Alligator mississippiensis: one gene and its partner. The protein of the gene in region 1 purifies or fractionates together with the protein of each later gene. This does not show direct contact. Links are inferred from orthologs where the notes say so. Each region holds a gene or a part of one and is shown in the gene's direction. Other genes may lie near its edges.

The links.
Region 2: the proteins of PIP4K2A (region 1) and AHCYL1 purify together in Homo sapiens (co-immunoprecipitation; 3 studies listed by BioGRID and IntAct, counting the BioPlex papers as one, with this or other methods). This does not show direct contact. The link is inferred for Alligator mississippiensis from reciprocal best matches to the Homo sapiens genes PIP4K2A and AHCYL1.

Annotation. Positions count from the first base shown.
Region 1 is NC_081828.1:186,242,472-186,250,203, reverse strand, and holds the start of PIP4K2A (phosphatidylinositol 5-phosphate 4-kinase type-2 alpha), read left to right. Parts: upstream 1-4,490; 5' UTR 4,491-4,630; coding exon 4,631-4,771; intron 4,772-7,732. UniProt on the Homo sapiens protein: Catalyzes the phosphorylation of phosphatidylinositol 5-phosphate (PtdIns5P) on the fourth hydroxyl of the myo-inositol ring, to form phosphatidylinositol 4,5-bisphosphate (PtdIns(4,5)P2). Has both ATP- and GTP-dependent kinase activities.
Region 2 is NC_081837.1:34,573,122-34,580,491, forward strand, and holds the start of AHCYL1 (S-adenosylhomocysteine hydrolase-like protein 1), read left to right. Parts: upstream 1-4,346; 5' UTR 4,347-4,487; coding exon 4,488-4,595; intron 4,596-7,370. UniProt on the Homo sapiens protein: Multifaceted cellular regulator which coordinates several essential cellular functions including regulation of epithelial HCO3(-) and fluid secretion, mRNA processing and DNA replication.

The DNA of each region.
Region 1 (7,732 bases):
AAAACACCCAGTTCTGTCTCCCTTAAAAAATATACATTTTTTAATTGATGCATGACGTCACAGGTTTTATTATCCTTTCTTTACAAGACTAAGATGCTTAAGATACCTCGTGTTTTCACCAGGTCTTACAATGTTTGTCCAAAAAAATAAAATTAGAATTTCAGACAAGACTTAAAGTATTCGAGTTTCATTAAAAGTGACATGTGCCTAGACCAATTTATAGAGTAATGGAACAATTTATAAGCCTGTAGCTGAAACTGGTGTCTGTGGCACTTGGCCCAGGGAAATTCTGTGGGTCTTCTGTTCTTTGCAGCTGCAGAAGATAATTGCAAAGGGAAATATTACCTTCCAGTAGCCAAGCAAAGCCTTGCTTATGAACTCTGTATACCCTCTTCTTCAAAGTACAGTCCTTTAACTCGCTAACACAATGTACTGAATGGCAATTAGTTTCAATCTTAGGGCACATACATACAGAGACAAATGTGGTGTGTAGAAAACCTGCTAATATGTTTTAACAGGATACTGAACATAATTTAGCAACAAGTTTCAATAGGGCAGGGTCTTGTTTAAAAGCAGGTTGGTCAGTCATGATTAACCCTAGACTGACTTTTGGCTGGTAAATCCTGTTTCTGTCTCCATTAACCACTGCTGAGGTCAGCCAAGGACAGCAAGACATTAGTCCAGTACTGATGTGGAGAAAGAAGCAAGTGAACAAGAGCTCCCATTGAGAACTTCCTGTGCCAGATGGAGAGAAAAGTGGAAACTCTGGGCCCCAACTGCAGAAAACAAAGACTGATACAGGATGAAACAGGACTAATTCCTTCAAGCCTATGCTGAGACTGCTTTAGGGGCCAAGAGAATGTTCATGTTAGTCTCTTCTGGAGCATTCATATCCCTCACCAAGGAACTATTGAGGATAATAACTGCTTTATCAATCCTGAGCGCCTACAACTGATATCTGAACCAAGATCTATATGCTGTAAAAAGATTGTAAGCTTACTTTGCTGAAAAGTTCTCTCCCTTGGGAATGCTTTTCAAATAACATTGATCTGCATGATCTGCACAACCAACTCACAACCTACCCACATTCCTAGAGTTGAGCATGTTGGTTCATCAAAAAAGGTTTGGACACCCTAAAGGAACCTCAGCCCAACACTTGTGAACCTGAGATACGGCCTTCCTAGCTTATGCACCATAATACTCATGACTAAAATGACAAATGCCTCATTTCAGGAAGGAATTTTCCAGTTCTTTTTCAAACATAATGGCCAACCCTGGATAGATTTATTCTTGTCCTGGTGGTAAGCCTTTGGCTCCTCAGCAAGGTCACAGTAAAACTGGTCCAAAGGCTAACTGCAAGCTCAGCTTAAAATAAATGTTCTAGACCTAGCACAATTTGGATTTAGGCCAGGATATCCAACTACCTGCTCTAGTGGCATTGATGGGTGATGTCCAACTATCAGTGGATAGCGGGCAGATACTTGTGTATTCAGTGTGGTCTGCCAGAAGGTGCTGTTGTGTCATTTGAGAAGGGTGAGAGAGGTCTAAGTAAATGTGATAACAGAACTAGTTCTTTCTGGAGGCTACACCCAATGAGTAGCAATGGAGAAACTGAACCAACCCTACTCCTTACTTATAGAGTCCACAGACATCACTTTCTCTTGGTCCTATTTAACATCTCTATGTAGCCACTAGATTAACTGGTTAGGTGAATGTGGCTTCAGGTGAAAGTTATAAGCAAATGAAATACACCTTTATCTCTCCATCATTATGTATGACCATACCTTATCTCCAAATAGCCCAGTCTTAAATAGGAACCAAAGAACCAGCTGGTAGATGCTTAACCTGATCAGGACAGAAGTGATGCTGACAAGTAGAGGAAAGCCTTTGCATCTACAACACAGTGCAGGCTCCTTTGTAGATAGTCAGTTTGATATGCTCCCAGCTTCTTGGATGATACTAAACTCAAGTAAGTTCTACAAGAAATATTTTCTGTCATCTCTTGACTAGATAACTGGTGAATGATGACCCGGCCTGATTCATATATTTGTCACCTTTTAGTTGGACTATAACAACCCAGTGTAGCTGGATATGAAGCCCTCATGATTGAGGCGATTCTAGCTGTACATAACACTGCAACATGTCTCCTTGCAACATGGGCTCCCAGGAACACATTAAACTTGTCCTCTATTTCCTTTATTATCTTCTTGCAGAATATTGAATCATGTTCAAGGACTTTGTTATCTTCAGGGCATCAATGAAGATCATAGTCAGTAACTTTGCTCCTCTGATCAAATGGAACTTTTTACAGTTATGGTTACATTACATTAAGAGTAAATCTCACTTATGCCAGAAAGGAAGCTTTCTCAGGGGCTGAATCCAGATAGTGGAAGTCCCACTAGAACTAAAGACCATTGCAAATGTTGTCACTGCCATTCTCTTAGTGCAAAGTGTATTTCTTTGACCTTGCTTTCTCTATCATAAACATAGCTGTGTATGTGTGATGATGAAACATCCAAAACACTCCCCGACTCAGGTTTCCCCTCTGGGAAGAGGATCAGAGTAAATATGACAGATATTCATCACAGTGCTTAATGTATTGCTGGAAGATGCTCAAATACTGTGGTGATAAGCATGGCTTGAGGGCCTGCCTAGAGGAGAGTAGGTGCTGAGCAATTCTGAAAATCTGGCTTTAAATCTATATTTAGGGATCTGTGGGCGCTGTTTTCAAAAGGGGTGACAACTTGGTGGCTTCATTTGCAGCAGTAACTTGAGGCACAGTTTGGCAAATCTGGTTTGAAGAAAAAGGATCCACTGCTCTGAACAGCTGTGTATGTTCCTGGGTGACATTTCAGTCCGAAAACAAGAACAGTAGAAAAGGGACTGGGAAGACCCCTGCTCTTGCTCCTTCCACCTCCCCAGATGCAGGCGGCAGGAAGCCTTCCAGTCACTGCTTGCAGGGCAGTGGGAGAGGAAGCAGAATTTGTTTCTGTAGCGTGAAATCCCAGCAACCTCCTGAGGAACAAGAGAAGAGGAACTGGTAAAACTTGCCAAGGGGGTAGCAAAAGTCCCTGCAGCCATGAACTGCTGGGTGAGTTGGGCTGCTGTGCTATGCAGCAACTGAGCCAATAGCAACTAGTGAGAGGGAGTTCCGTGACGGGTGATGGAGGTGCCCCCAAAAGCAGCAATGCAGTTCCTTATTACAGGCAGGGGAAGGCGTAGGACAGAGGGAAGTGCCTCTGGGATGCACCAGCACCTCGCTGCCTGCCTGGGCTGGTGGGCAGCAAAGAGGGAGGTGTGGCTCTGCTGGGCAAAGAACTTCATGCCTTGGCTGCTGCCTGGCTACAAACGAGGAGAGCACAGGTTGCTCCACTCCCCAGTGGAGCTTGAGAAGTGCAGCAGCATTGCCAGGGCTTAAATATGAAATTATTGTATTGGAAGCTCAAAATTATTGTATTTTGGGGAAAACTACTGTACACTGAAAAAATGTGCAAATAGGTATGCAAATAAGTCTTCTTTTGACTGACTTTATATTGCTCATTGTAACTTGCCATTGAGTGAGTGAGAACTTGGTCATCAAAGTTGAAGCAGATCTTTTATTTTGAGGCAAGCAGTTTTAGGAAAGTGCTGACAGCAAACCCGAAAGTCTGTTAAGGCTCCCTGAAAGTAACTTGAGTTTTGCGTACAGGTTTCCCTTGCCAACTGCTGTGGTTAGGTTCCTCAAAGTTCCCCTGGTTGGCAAAACCCTGGGTGGCAAGACAAAAGGTTTATGAGAAAAATGGCAGGTGGCAGGCTGATGTGCAGCCATGGAAAACCGTATACCCTGGTAGCCAAAATGGTGCATAGTGTATTAAGCGTGGATAGTCAAAACTGTGGTTGGTGAGGGAAACCTGTATGTTGCATCAAAAATGATGGGCAGACAAAGTTCTTGGGGCCAATCTGAGCTTTTTTATTAAAGCAACCCAGCAGCTCATGGCTGCGGGGCCTTGTGTGAGCCCCTTGGCAAGTTTCACCAGTTCCTCTTCTCTGGTTGCTCAGGCAGTTGCTGGGATTTCACGCTACAGAAACAAGTGCCGCTTCTCCTCCCTCCGCCCTGCAAGACTCTTTTGGGTCGATCCGATATCTTCCATTAGACCAACTCACATTCCTTTTTTTCCATAGAAAATTCTTTTCCCCATCGATTTAAGTTGGTCTAATAAATGATGCCAACTTGACCCAAGAGCCTTGCCTGTCTGTGTCCTTAGACCAACGCGCCTACAACCCCTCAAAGGGGCTACGCTTGCTAGCACCAACTTTACAGGGGGCAAAACGAAACACTAAAAAGACTGTGCGCCCGCAACCCCGGAGCGCTCCTAGCGCGCCTGCGCGGCAGTAGAGCGCATGCGTGCTGAGAACAAAAGCAGGCGAGGGGGCGGGGCGCCGTGACGCAGGGCGCGGGGGGAGCCGGGGGGCGGGGCCAGCTCAGTGGGCGGCGCGGGCGGCCGGGCCAGGATGCGCCTGGTGTCGCGCGGTAGCCAGCCCAGCCCAGCCCTGCCCGGCCCCGCCCGGCCTGGCCCGCCGCCCCCGCGCCGCCGCCCTCGCGCGCCCCGCCGCCCTCGGGCGCCCCGCCGCCCCCTCGGCCGGTCGCGCCATGGCGGCCCCTGGCAACATCGTGTCCGTCATGGCGAGCAAGACCAAGACGAAGAAGAAGCACTTCGTGGCGCAAAAAGTGAAGCTGTTCCGGGCCAGCGACCCGCTGCTCAGCGTCCTCATGTGGGGGGTCAACCACTCGGTAAGCGCGGGCCGGGCCGGGCACTGGCGCGGGGTTCCCGTGCCTGCGGCCGCTGGCATCGCGGCACCCCGGGCTGGCGCGGGGTGCCGGCGGGAGGCTGCGTCCGATGGATCCGCGGCGCCGCGACCGTCGGACGTGCCCGTTAGGTGCCGGCGCGGCACCAGGCTGGAAGGAAACGGTCCTTGGGGGGAGAGAGGCGGGGGAGCTTTTTTGTCGCGGTAAAGCAGCAGGACGTCAGCATCTGCCAGGCGCCAGACCACTGCCGTGCCACTGCGCAGCCTGCGCTAGTCCAGCTGCACGGCTTCGGGGGTTTTGCTGTTGGTGAACTGGGGCTGCCCAATGTTAAAATTGGGAGCCCAGGAATGACGGTTTGGCATCTCTTTGAGGCCCTCCAAGAGGCTGAAGGTGCAGTTTGGCATCTTTAGGCGGCTGGTACCATGGAGTGGAGCAGTCACCAGAAACCAAGCGTTGGGCAGCTGGCTGGAAAATGCTTTTGCCTTTCGTTGTTACCCTTGATACTGCGGACTTTGTATTGTCAACTCCTGCTCTTGTGTTCATGGTATCGGACATGGCTGATACTTAGCTTGGTGCACAAATAGTTGCAAGTTGTAGCTCCGGATCAATTCCGAAAAGCCCAGTGTTCGGGAAAACGAGAATGTGTCTGTTCCTCCACTTGCCGTGTCGTCTGTCCTTTCCAGACCTTGCTCATCTTGTTTACTTTGATTTATATGTACTTTTTACATCTTTCCGTTAAAGCCCACTGAACTCCCCTTTCAACAAAGTCGTATTATTAGCTAACGTCCTGGCCAACATAAACTTGCCCACAATTTTCTTTTTAATCTTGAGCTCAAGTTTCTTCATATCTCTAGAAACAGCCTCTCAATAAACCTGCTGTGGGCATAAGATAAAGTGGCGCTCTGTAAAGTGACATATCATGAAGTAAATTCCTGTGCGTCAGTTGTAATGGCTGACATCCTATATACTGAGCTGGCAAAGGACTACGAAAATATCTATTACCTTTTGTAGCTTTAAGGAACAATGTTCTTCTCTTCTACAGTCGAGTAAGAAAAAAATGTTACGTGTCAGAACTGACTGCAATGTGCTTTTTACAATTCCTTATATTCTTTTCCTGTGGGGAAGAGTCAGTGTTGTGGACGTAGTAATCATATAGCGGTCTGCCTCTTGTTCAGACAAATATTTTTCTCTTTTTTAAAAAAAGAATCTGCTGATCCTGTTCATATTTCACAGCACAATGCTGGACCTCCAGAATTAAGCAGAGTAGGTGTCTGTGGTAAGTCTATGAGGGAGCTGGGATTACTTCTAACAGCCATGAGCAATTACACATGTCCTTGCTGAACATAAAGTAGTTGTGCTCTTAGAAGAAAACTCCCAAACTCATCCTTTACTCAAGTAGCAGCCGAAAGAATGTCGCGCCTGCCTGTCATTTATTTGTGTCTCTTATAGCATAGATTGGATTTGGTTTGCTTCAGACGTAGTCACTGGATATTTGCTTAGAAAGTAAATGAGTGAAAATAGCTTATAGCTAAGTGAATCTTGTGCTCCACTTTTCTTCATTTTTTTTTTCTTTTCCTTCTCTTTCTGTCTTACTCCCCCCACCTTCTTAAAAATTTGCTTTGCCCCATATGACTAACTTCCTCATCTGTGTGCGTGTGTAAACTGCATGCCTGTTTATTCACTTCTGTCAGTTACCACCTGGGTTATTGCCCTACCCCTAAGATGACAAAGGAAATCTGAGTCCTTGCCTTACTCTGTTTTGCACTCTTAGGTAATTGGAGCATTAAGGTGTGCTGTGAGAGGGATGTGCAACTGTGCATGAACGGCTGCTTGCTGTTTTTTTCTTCTGAAGAAATTTGGAGAGAAGATGAGTACTATTAGTTGGCTATATTGGAATGAGTGATATATTGGGAACAGCGACTCTACTGATAAGATGCAGATATCTTATGAATATGAAGCTGTAAAGCATGCAAGGCAAATGTAGCATGTTGGATACAAGATTTCAAAGCAGAATGCTGGGATTACATAAGAAATGCAAGACTTTTTGGAAGCTTCTTTTCATTGTGACAAGTCTCTACTTAGCTATGTTTCTTTGGTTAGACTTTGTGAACAAGTGGAGGGAGTGTATTATAGTCTCCTGCATTTTAATTTGAAAACAAACTAAACTTGATTTAGGACTTAAGTGAAATATTGGCATGAAATTAATGTTGCCAGTGAACTTTGCATGAGAAGTGTATTGCTGTGCATTGGAAGGAAGTGGTTCTGAGCTTCGGTGCATATGATCTGCGTTACAGATCTTTTGTGATATGAGTGTAGAAGGTAAAACCATGAATAAAAATCTTGAAATAAATAGTATCTTAATTTCTCATCTTGATTGCAGTTGCAAAAAAAAGTTACTACTCTTATCTCCTATTTTCCTTTCATAGGGAGTCCAAATATTTTAAGTACAGATGCTACATTTGGTCATTTCTTGCTTTGATACTTAAGCTAAGATATCTCACAGTGTTAATCTCGTTTGTTCCAATAAAGTGTATTTATCTTGTATTGATTTGGGGCACCTCAGAGGTGCCCCAGGGTTTGCCTTGCAACTAGAAAGCAGCATTCAGCAATTCTTGTGCAGTACCACAATCATGGGGAAAACAGCGTCCTGTAAAACAGGAGTGGTCAACCTGCAGCAGGAATGCCATGAGTGGCATGGCAGCCTCTGTGGCACAGTGGCAGATAGGGTGGGAAGCGGAGCAGCAAACTGGATGGGAGCAGGAAGCAGAGCAGCAGACTGGACAGGGGAAGGGGATTGGAATGGCACTTGGGGGAGCATGCAGGGCTTATCTGTGCCAAAAAAGATAGTGTTGTGCTGTAAGAAATCAGAAATAGGAATAAAAAATCCATTGAGAATAAGGATTGAGTATACTTGAGAGTCAACTAGTAACCAAATAAACCACAAGC
Region 2 (7,370 bases), on another chromosome or scaffold:
CACCTAAGAGGTGCCTGGGATTTGAGGAGGGTCTGGCTGCCTGTCACTCCCCCAGCTGGGGTAGATCCAGCTCCCCGGCTGGATTTGCAGCACTTCTGTGCCTGCCGAAAGCAGGACTGTACCTCCTGGTTTCTCGACTCAGCCACTCTTTGCCAGGAATATTTGGAAGACCTCGGCAGCCCCTCCCAGCTCCAGCCAACAAAAGGGATTCAGGCAGCTGCACTTCTGCCAGTTCCCTGCTGGTGCCTCGCAACCAGGGTGTGAACCAGGCCTGATGGCATTAACCCCATTTGTCATGGCAGCTCTCACGCCCGTGGCATGGCTGAAGCCGGTGTGCCCTGACCCTCATGGTTATTGCTCTGTGCCTTTTCCCATCGCCCCCAGAGTTTTGATGTTCTCCCTCTCTCCAGTTCACCTGCTTGCTCTCTCTCTGCTTCCCCCCCACCCCTTCTCCAGACCACTCCGTCTTGCTTTCACTCCTGAAAAAGGGAGAAAGAGAAGTGGGCTAAGGGATGGCAGCACCTGTAAAGGCAGGGATCACTTTACTGTGCACCACTTGTAGGGGCCCTGTGCATCCCTTTCCATTACCTCTTGGGCTGGGCTCTAGAGGTAGCTCTGTTGGCTTTAGTAGGGAGTCGGGAAATAGCTTCCACTGCTGGTTACTCCACCAACTGACTGCCAAGGGGGGTTCTTGCCCCTTCATCTGAAGCAGCAGCCACTTGAAGGAGGAGGGAGAGTTAGATGGACCACAGCTCTGGTGACTCCTGTGCACTTACATTTGGTAGAGTGCTGCTCTCTCTCCCCCCAAGAAGAGACCAGGAGAGAGGCCTTTTGTTTCAGCTGCAAAAGGGACTTTCCATTGAGCAGTGTTTCCAGCTGCAAATGTGCACCAGTGGTGAGTCAGCCTTCCTCTCCCCTTCCCCCTCTAAACAAACAGAAAATCATGGGATTGGCTGAAAATTCACGACGGTTTTAAACAAGAGACTGGGGACTCTTTTCATGGGTTTTCTGATTTCTGAGCATTGAGGGTCCTATTGTGCGACCCTTCTCTGCAAGCAAAAAGCGAGTAAGTTCCTAAAAAACAATAAAATATCATCCCATGACTCCAGGAGCTGGAGCTTTAATGAAAACTCCAGAGAGTGTGTCACTCATCAGAGTTGGCTATACCAATATTGTGAGGATCCTGTAAGACCCTGGAGATGCAGGGGAACAGGGCAGGCTGGGCAGAAAGCCTGATGCAAAGGATAACCCAGAAGAGAGGGAGCTGTCTGTGACGAGCTGTACGCGCCTTCCTGCCAAAGTTCCTGCGATAGCTATCTAGGTAGTCTGTGGTGCACTGGTTCTGAGAACAGAGCTCAGCAAACTTCCTTTGAAGTACCCCTGCGGCTTCACACAGGCTTATGTAGATGGAGATAAGAAGACAGGTGGTTTTTAAAGGAGGGTGGTATAGACACACAATGATTATTGGAAAGAGTACAGGGAGCCTGTGTGTGTGAGGGGTGGAGATGTGGTGTGCATGCGCCCATGCATGACTGGGATTGGGTCTGCTAGAGGTGTCCATGTAACACAGCTCACCAACACTTAACTGCAGACTTATTGATGGATGATGAAGGACTGAGCATGCTCCTGGCACTCACTTCCTTTATTTGCCCTGCATGTGTGCTTGCACATATGATAATGCGCGTGTGTGTATCTATGTAGAGTAAGTGTGTTTGATGACACATGTATTTGCAGTGTCTATTGCATGTGTGCACGTCAGTGGGCACTTAGGGCACATGTGGGGAGGCTGTAGTTGTGCAAGATGCATTTGTGTGTGTATGTGGGGGAGGGTTTGGATGTGTAAAGGGTTTTGTGCATGTGTATGCACAAGATGCGTGCCAGTGTTTGTCCCTGTCTGCAGTGCATGTGGGGAGGCATGTGTGTGCGTATGTGTATATGCACAAGATTTTTGTGAGGATGTGTAATATGTGGAGGGTGGGTTGTGTGTGGGGTGTGCATGTGTCCATGTACAAGACGCATCTGGGCACTTGTGTCTGTTACATTCCTACTTCTTCTGGGAGATCTGCATGCTCGTTTGCAGGCATTAACCCTCACACCTTTCTCTGGGGGGACCGTCCAGCTCTTTACCCCTGCTGCACAGGTGATGAAGCAGACTTATCATAACAGCCCTCTCATTCCACCACCCAAAGCAAAAACAACTCCTTTACAGAAAGTTCTGCATCTCTGGGGCCCCAAGTGAGTATCCAAGAAGACACTGCTCCCTCTACTAAGGGTCCTACTTACGTGTGTCTGGGTGGAGCGGCTTGGGAGGAAGAGCTTAGCGAGGGTGGTGGGGGAACTCAAGGCAAAATGGAGTGGAATTAAAAGGGAAGATGGAGTTTACCAAACCAGATCAGCCCCATCATATGCATTGACTGGTTTTTCTTTCCTCTGGAGCTGTTCATCAGCCTCAAATCCTTCCAGAATCCTGCTTTCAGTGACGAGCCAGCCCCAATCTCCCCTAGTGACCTGGTGAATTGCAGGCTACATTTCCTACTGCCCTAAAGAGCCCAGCAGCGCCAGCCTATTCTTCTCTGCAGCCTCGGGCCTCTCTCCCCCTGCAACACCCAGAGGTTTGGCTTCTGCTTGAAGCCCTTTAGGTCCCCTATCGCCCAGCACTGAAGACCTTTCACACTGCACCGTAGGAGCTCTGAGTAGTGTTTTTGCTTTTGCAGAACTGAAACCTGACTGATGAAGTTTTTCCAAAACCACCCCCAACCCCAGCACCTGACCCAGGTCCCAGAGCAACGCTGAGGGCTGCTGCAACTGAGGGGTAGCAACAGCAGCACTGCAAGGGAAGCTGAGGGCCAAAGGGACTGTGAATCTCAGCAGCCTGCCGTAGGTCTGGAGGAGGAGAGCCACTGACACCGGGCTGAGCGCTCAGCTCAGAAGCAAGATCACATGGATGCAAGACCCTGGGGGGAGAAGCCCACATCCCAGCACAAGGATGGCCAGGGCTGGGGCTGCCCTTGTCCCCAGGCTGCAGCACAGGGGTGTCTGAGCTGCAGCCGACCTGAGCACCCAGGTCTAACCCTGGGGGCCGCGCTCCCCCTGGTGCCTGGCTGGCACTGCATGACAGCTGGACAGCGAGGAGTGACAGTGCCACCTGGGGGCTGCTTGGGAAGTGCGCCCTTGCCAGCACTGGCATCGCACCCACCCACCACGCCTTATCCCAAGCTGGATGCCATGGGGGCAGGCCTGTTAATCACATAGGGATGGCGAGTGCAAGCCCTTTGTAAACTATACGCCCTCTCAGTCAAAGGGAGGCCACAAGGCCTGATCACTGGGGACAACACGTGGAATTGCTGGGCTGGGAGCGAAGACCAAAGGTGGATCCCAATGGGGACGCAGAGCAGAGGCACGGCCCAGCACCCAGTGCCCCGAACAAGTCCAAGGAGCCTGCAGATGCCACCCATCTTTTAAAAAATTAATATATATATATATATATATATACACACACACACACACACACACACACACATTTAGGTATGTATACACATCCTCTATCATAGACTTCCACTGCACCTTTTCTTTTTAAAACTACCTTAAGAAACCCATGCACCTGTTACAAAAACTACACCCGCTTCCCTGTGCACCCACCCTCTGCCCTGCCCTAACCCAAGCACAGTCCCTTAGTCCCGGCCCCGATTTGGGGTTCCCTTTCTCAGTTCATTTCCCATCCTTGTCACTGTTAATGTCGCTTCTACTGCTGCTGATCCTGTTGTTGTCCTCCTCGCCTTCTTTAGGTCCAATTGCATCGCTGTCCCCTTCGTTCTTCCTGTCCACTAACTTTCCCAGGGGGGACTTTGAACAGCCGGTGCCATGTGTCCCTTTTCCAGATGGAGTTGGATGCATCCTCTCCGTCCTCTCCCACCGCTTTCCTGCAGATGCCACCCTGAAGCGGGGCGGGAGGATGCTGGGCACGGGCCTTTGCTGGGTTTATCTGCAACCTGCACATCTAGACTGGCATCTCTGGGGGCACGGGGACCATCCCACGCCACGAAGGTACACCACGCTCCTGGCACATAGTTGCCCAGTCTGACACACTCAGCAGTGTGGGCTCCCAGCCCCAGCATGCCCCTGAATGTCCAGTGCCCACCAGCGCTGCCCCTTCTGCACACAGTTTGCTGCACGCCCCACTCCTCCCCTCCAGGGGTCGCACCCAGCCAGCCGGGCTCCGCACCACCTCCCCTTGCCAGCACTTCCCCCTCGCGTCCCTTGCCCGGCCCATGCGTGCCAACGCTAAGCCGGCCCGTGCGTGCTGACGTATGCCCGCCTAGCCCCGCCCCCTCCCGCGGCGTGCGGCGGCCGCAGTCCGCCTGCAGAGGTCCGGCCGGGTGGGCACGAGTTCTGCGCTGCCCCCCCCCACCCAGCCCCGCGACTCCGCGGGTTCGAGTCCCCGCGCCCGGCTCCGCTCGGCTCGGCTCGGCCCGGCTTGCAGCACCAGGATGTCGATGCCGGACGCGGCAGGCGGGGACGAAATGAAGCAGGCCAAGGAGATCGAGGACGCCGAGAAGTTCAACTTCATGGCCACGGTCACCAAGGCGCCCAAAAAGGTACCCCTGTGGGGGGGTGGTCTGCCCTCCCCTCCCCTCCCCTCCCCTGTGTGGGGCTATCCCGGGATTAACCCCTGCTGCCCTCTCCTCCCCCACCAAGGGGGCAGCAAGGGTTTACTCCAGGATAGAGGTGTGGGTGTCTGCCCACCTTGCCCCGGGACGGCGTGGGTTATCCCGGGATAACGGCTCGGTCTGTTTGCAACAGGGGGGCAGCTGGTTAAGCCAGCGCCCGCGGGGTTGGGGTTGACTTGGGGGGACCGGGGCTGTGCCAGCCTCGTGCTTCGCCCGCTCGCCTTTCGGGCGTCTCCCGGCGCCCGGGGCGCTTGCTTAACCTGCCTCCGGTTGCTGGGGATTGAGGAGCCGGGGGCTCCCCCAGCGCGGGCGGCGTTGGCTCGGGCCTGGGCGAAGGAGCCCTGCCTGCCGTTCCAGAGGTGCAGCCACAGCTGGAGCGCGGGAGCCAGACTCCTTCCAGCTGTTCCAGTTTCACCGGAGAGCTGTGAAACCAATGGGAAACCGATGTCGGCACTGCCCGAGGGATACCTGGCGCTTAGCATCCCCCGGCAGGTGGTGGTAGCGTGGAGAAGGCTCTTTAGACCCGTGCTGGGGATGCTCCTCCGTCAGGCCGAGGGGTCGGTGAGCCCGTAGAGGTATTCGCTTGACGTTGCGGGTGTAGGTAGAGGCTGTTTTGCAGCCCAGGCAGGGGGTTGGACTCGATGATCTGTCGAGGGCTCTTCTGACCCTCGCATCTATGAATCTGTGCTTGGGTCGTGCTGCTGACTTGATCTCGCTGTAATACTGCCCCGAGCATTGGAGGGCATGCAATGAGATGAGCTTTGAGGCTGATAACGTAACGAGCGCCAGCCCTGAAGGATGAATGCTCCAGGCCCATCTGGCGATTGTGAAGAGCAGAGGCACTGGCAACCTCGAAAGCAGCGGTTCTCAACCTTTTCTGTACCAGGACCCGTTTGTAAACCTCGATGGCCAGTCCCAAACCACTGCCCCCAGCCCCTCAGTGTGTGGGGCAGTGGGTGGGTGTGAGGCAAGGGGGTCCCAAGCAGCCCCTCGCAGGCTGGACCTCTGCCAGCCTGCAAGGGAAAAGCCACAGTTGCCCATGTTTTTCTCCTTTCTTTTCAAAGTGTGTTGATCCATTTTTAAAGTTTGTTCGCGACCCTTTCGTATATTCTTGTGACTCACTTTTGGGTCGCGACTCACCGGTTGAGAAACGCTGCTCTGAAGCATCCAGTGCTGAGGGTCTGCGGCTTGTCTCGGAGCTCGAGGCATCTTCAGATTGCTTTGTATCAAAATCATAATCGGAAAAAGGCCTTATTACTTTTTGCGACCCTTCTTTATTTTTAATGCAAGGCAGAGTGTCTTGTGCGTCTCCTTTGTGAGCTTCGAAGCTCATCGCCTTTATCTAGAAATTCCAGGAAAATAGCTGAGAGCTTCCTGCTATGGTTTCATCAGAGGAGTGAGGTCCCTAGCAGGTATGGTATTAAAAATGCTGAAATAAACCAAACTTGGCAGGGAAGTTATCAAATCCTTGCCCTGATTGACATCCTCTGGGCAAATGATTCTTTAAGGGGCAGGGTGCATTGAAGATCAGATGGGGGAAGCTGGGAATATCCCCGGGGCATTGGTATGGGTGCTTTCTCTTTTGTACTAACTCTTACTGAATAGCTTTTCAAAGGGGAGGCTTATGCTTATGCTTGCTGTGAGCACCAGTGTGCAGTGAAAGTGCTGATAGGAGTGAACATCCCTCCATGTTCATGCAGACAGGTTGCTAGTGTGTTCAGTTTCCCAGGCAAAGCGCCCAAAGGTGGGGACCATTAATGAGGAGGTTCTCGGACAGGAGCTAGACTGAGAGAAGAGCTGGTCATGGAAGAAGCAAGCATGCTCCTCGAAACAACCAACTGTGGCAGCCTGAGCGATCCAGCTGGTAGGATCTATATTAGTTCTGCAAACCAGCCTTGAGGATCTCCTGATATATTTTTTTTCTTCTTGTCTTTAACTTGGAAAAAGGTTAAAAAGGGAAACAGCAGGAAGTAAGCGATTAAAAGCTTAAACATGGTAGACTCTGCCTTTAAGTAGAAGCCGGAGAAGCTGAGGTGAAGCGAGATTTTGGCCCTCCATAGCAGTGCGTGGTTGTCTTTGAGACGGGGAAGGGGGCTTAGCTGAGATGCCTGCTTCACTGCAACCTAGCGGAAATCTTGTCTTGTTGAGCCGAAGGACACCAGTTTTCTTCCCAGTGAAACTGCCACGTTGCAACGTGCAGCTGCATTGTCCAGTTGTCCCTACTGCTATCCTTGGATGTTACGTTGGGTGCTTTAGAAACACGGGTGGATCTCCCTACAGCCGTGAAATAGTGAGGAATCCACATGTCCAGGGCAACTGTTCCTGTGACGGCTCAGGAATCGTCCTGTGTTCTCAAAGGACTGAAATAATCCTCCCTCCCCATCCTATACCCAACAGGGTGTTTGGTGTCGGTGGTTTGAGCTATTTTCCTTGGGGAATACCAGTGTCCTCATGTCTTAATTGCCCTTTTTACATTCAGTGAACAGGGCTCTTGGGTGCTTTTGTTTATGGAAGATTTTGGTAATGGAGCCATTTTATTTTGAGGTGAGGGTGGTACCTGCTCTTTGATCTGAGTGGGGAAGCGCTCTAAGTGGAGAAGATAAAATGCCCTGAGATGATAAAGTTGGCCAAGGAAGACTTCTTGCTTGGAGAGCCCGTGTGATCCCTAACTGCAATGCATACTATATCCTTAGAGTTTCTGGA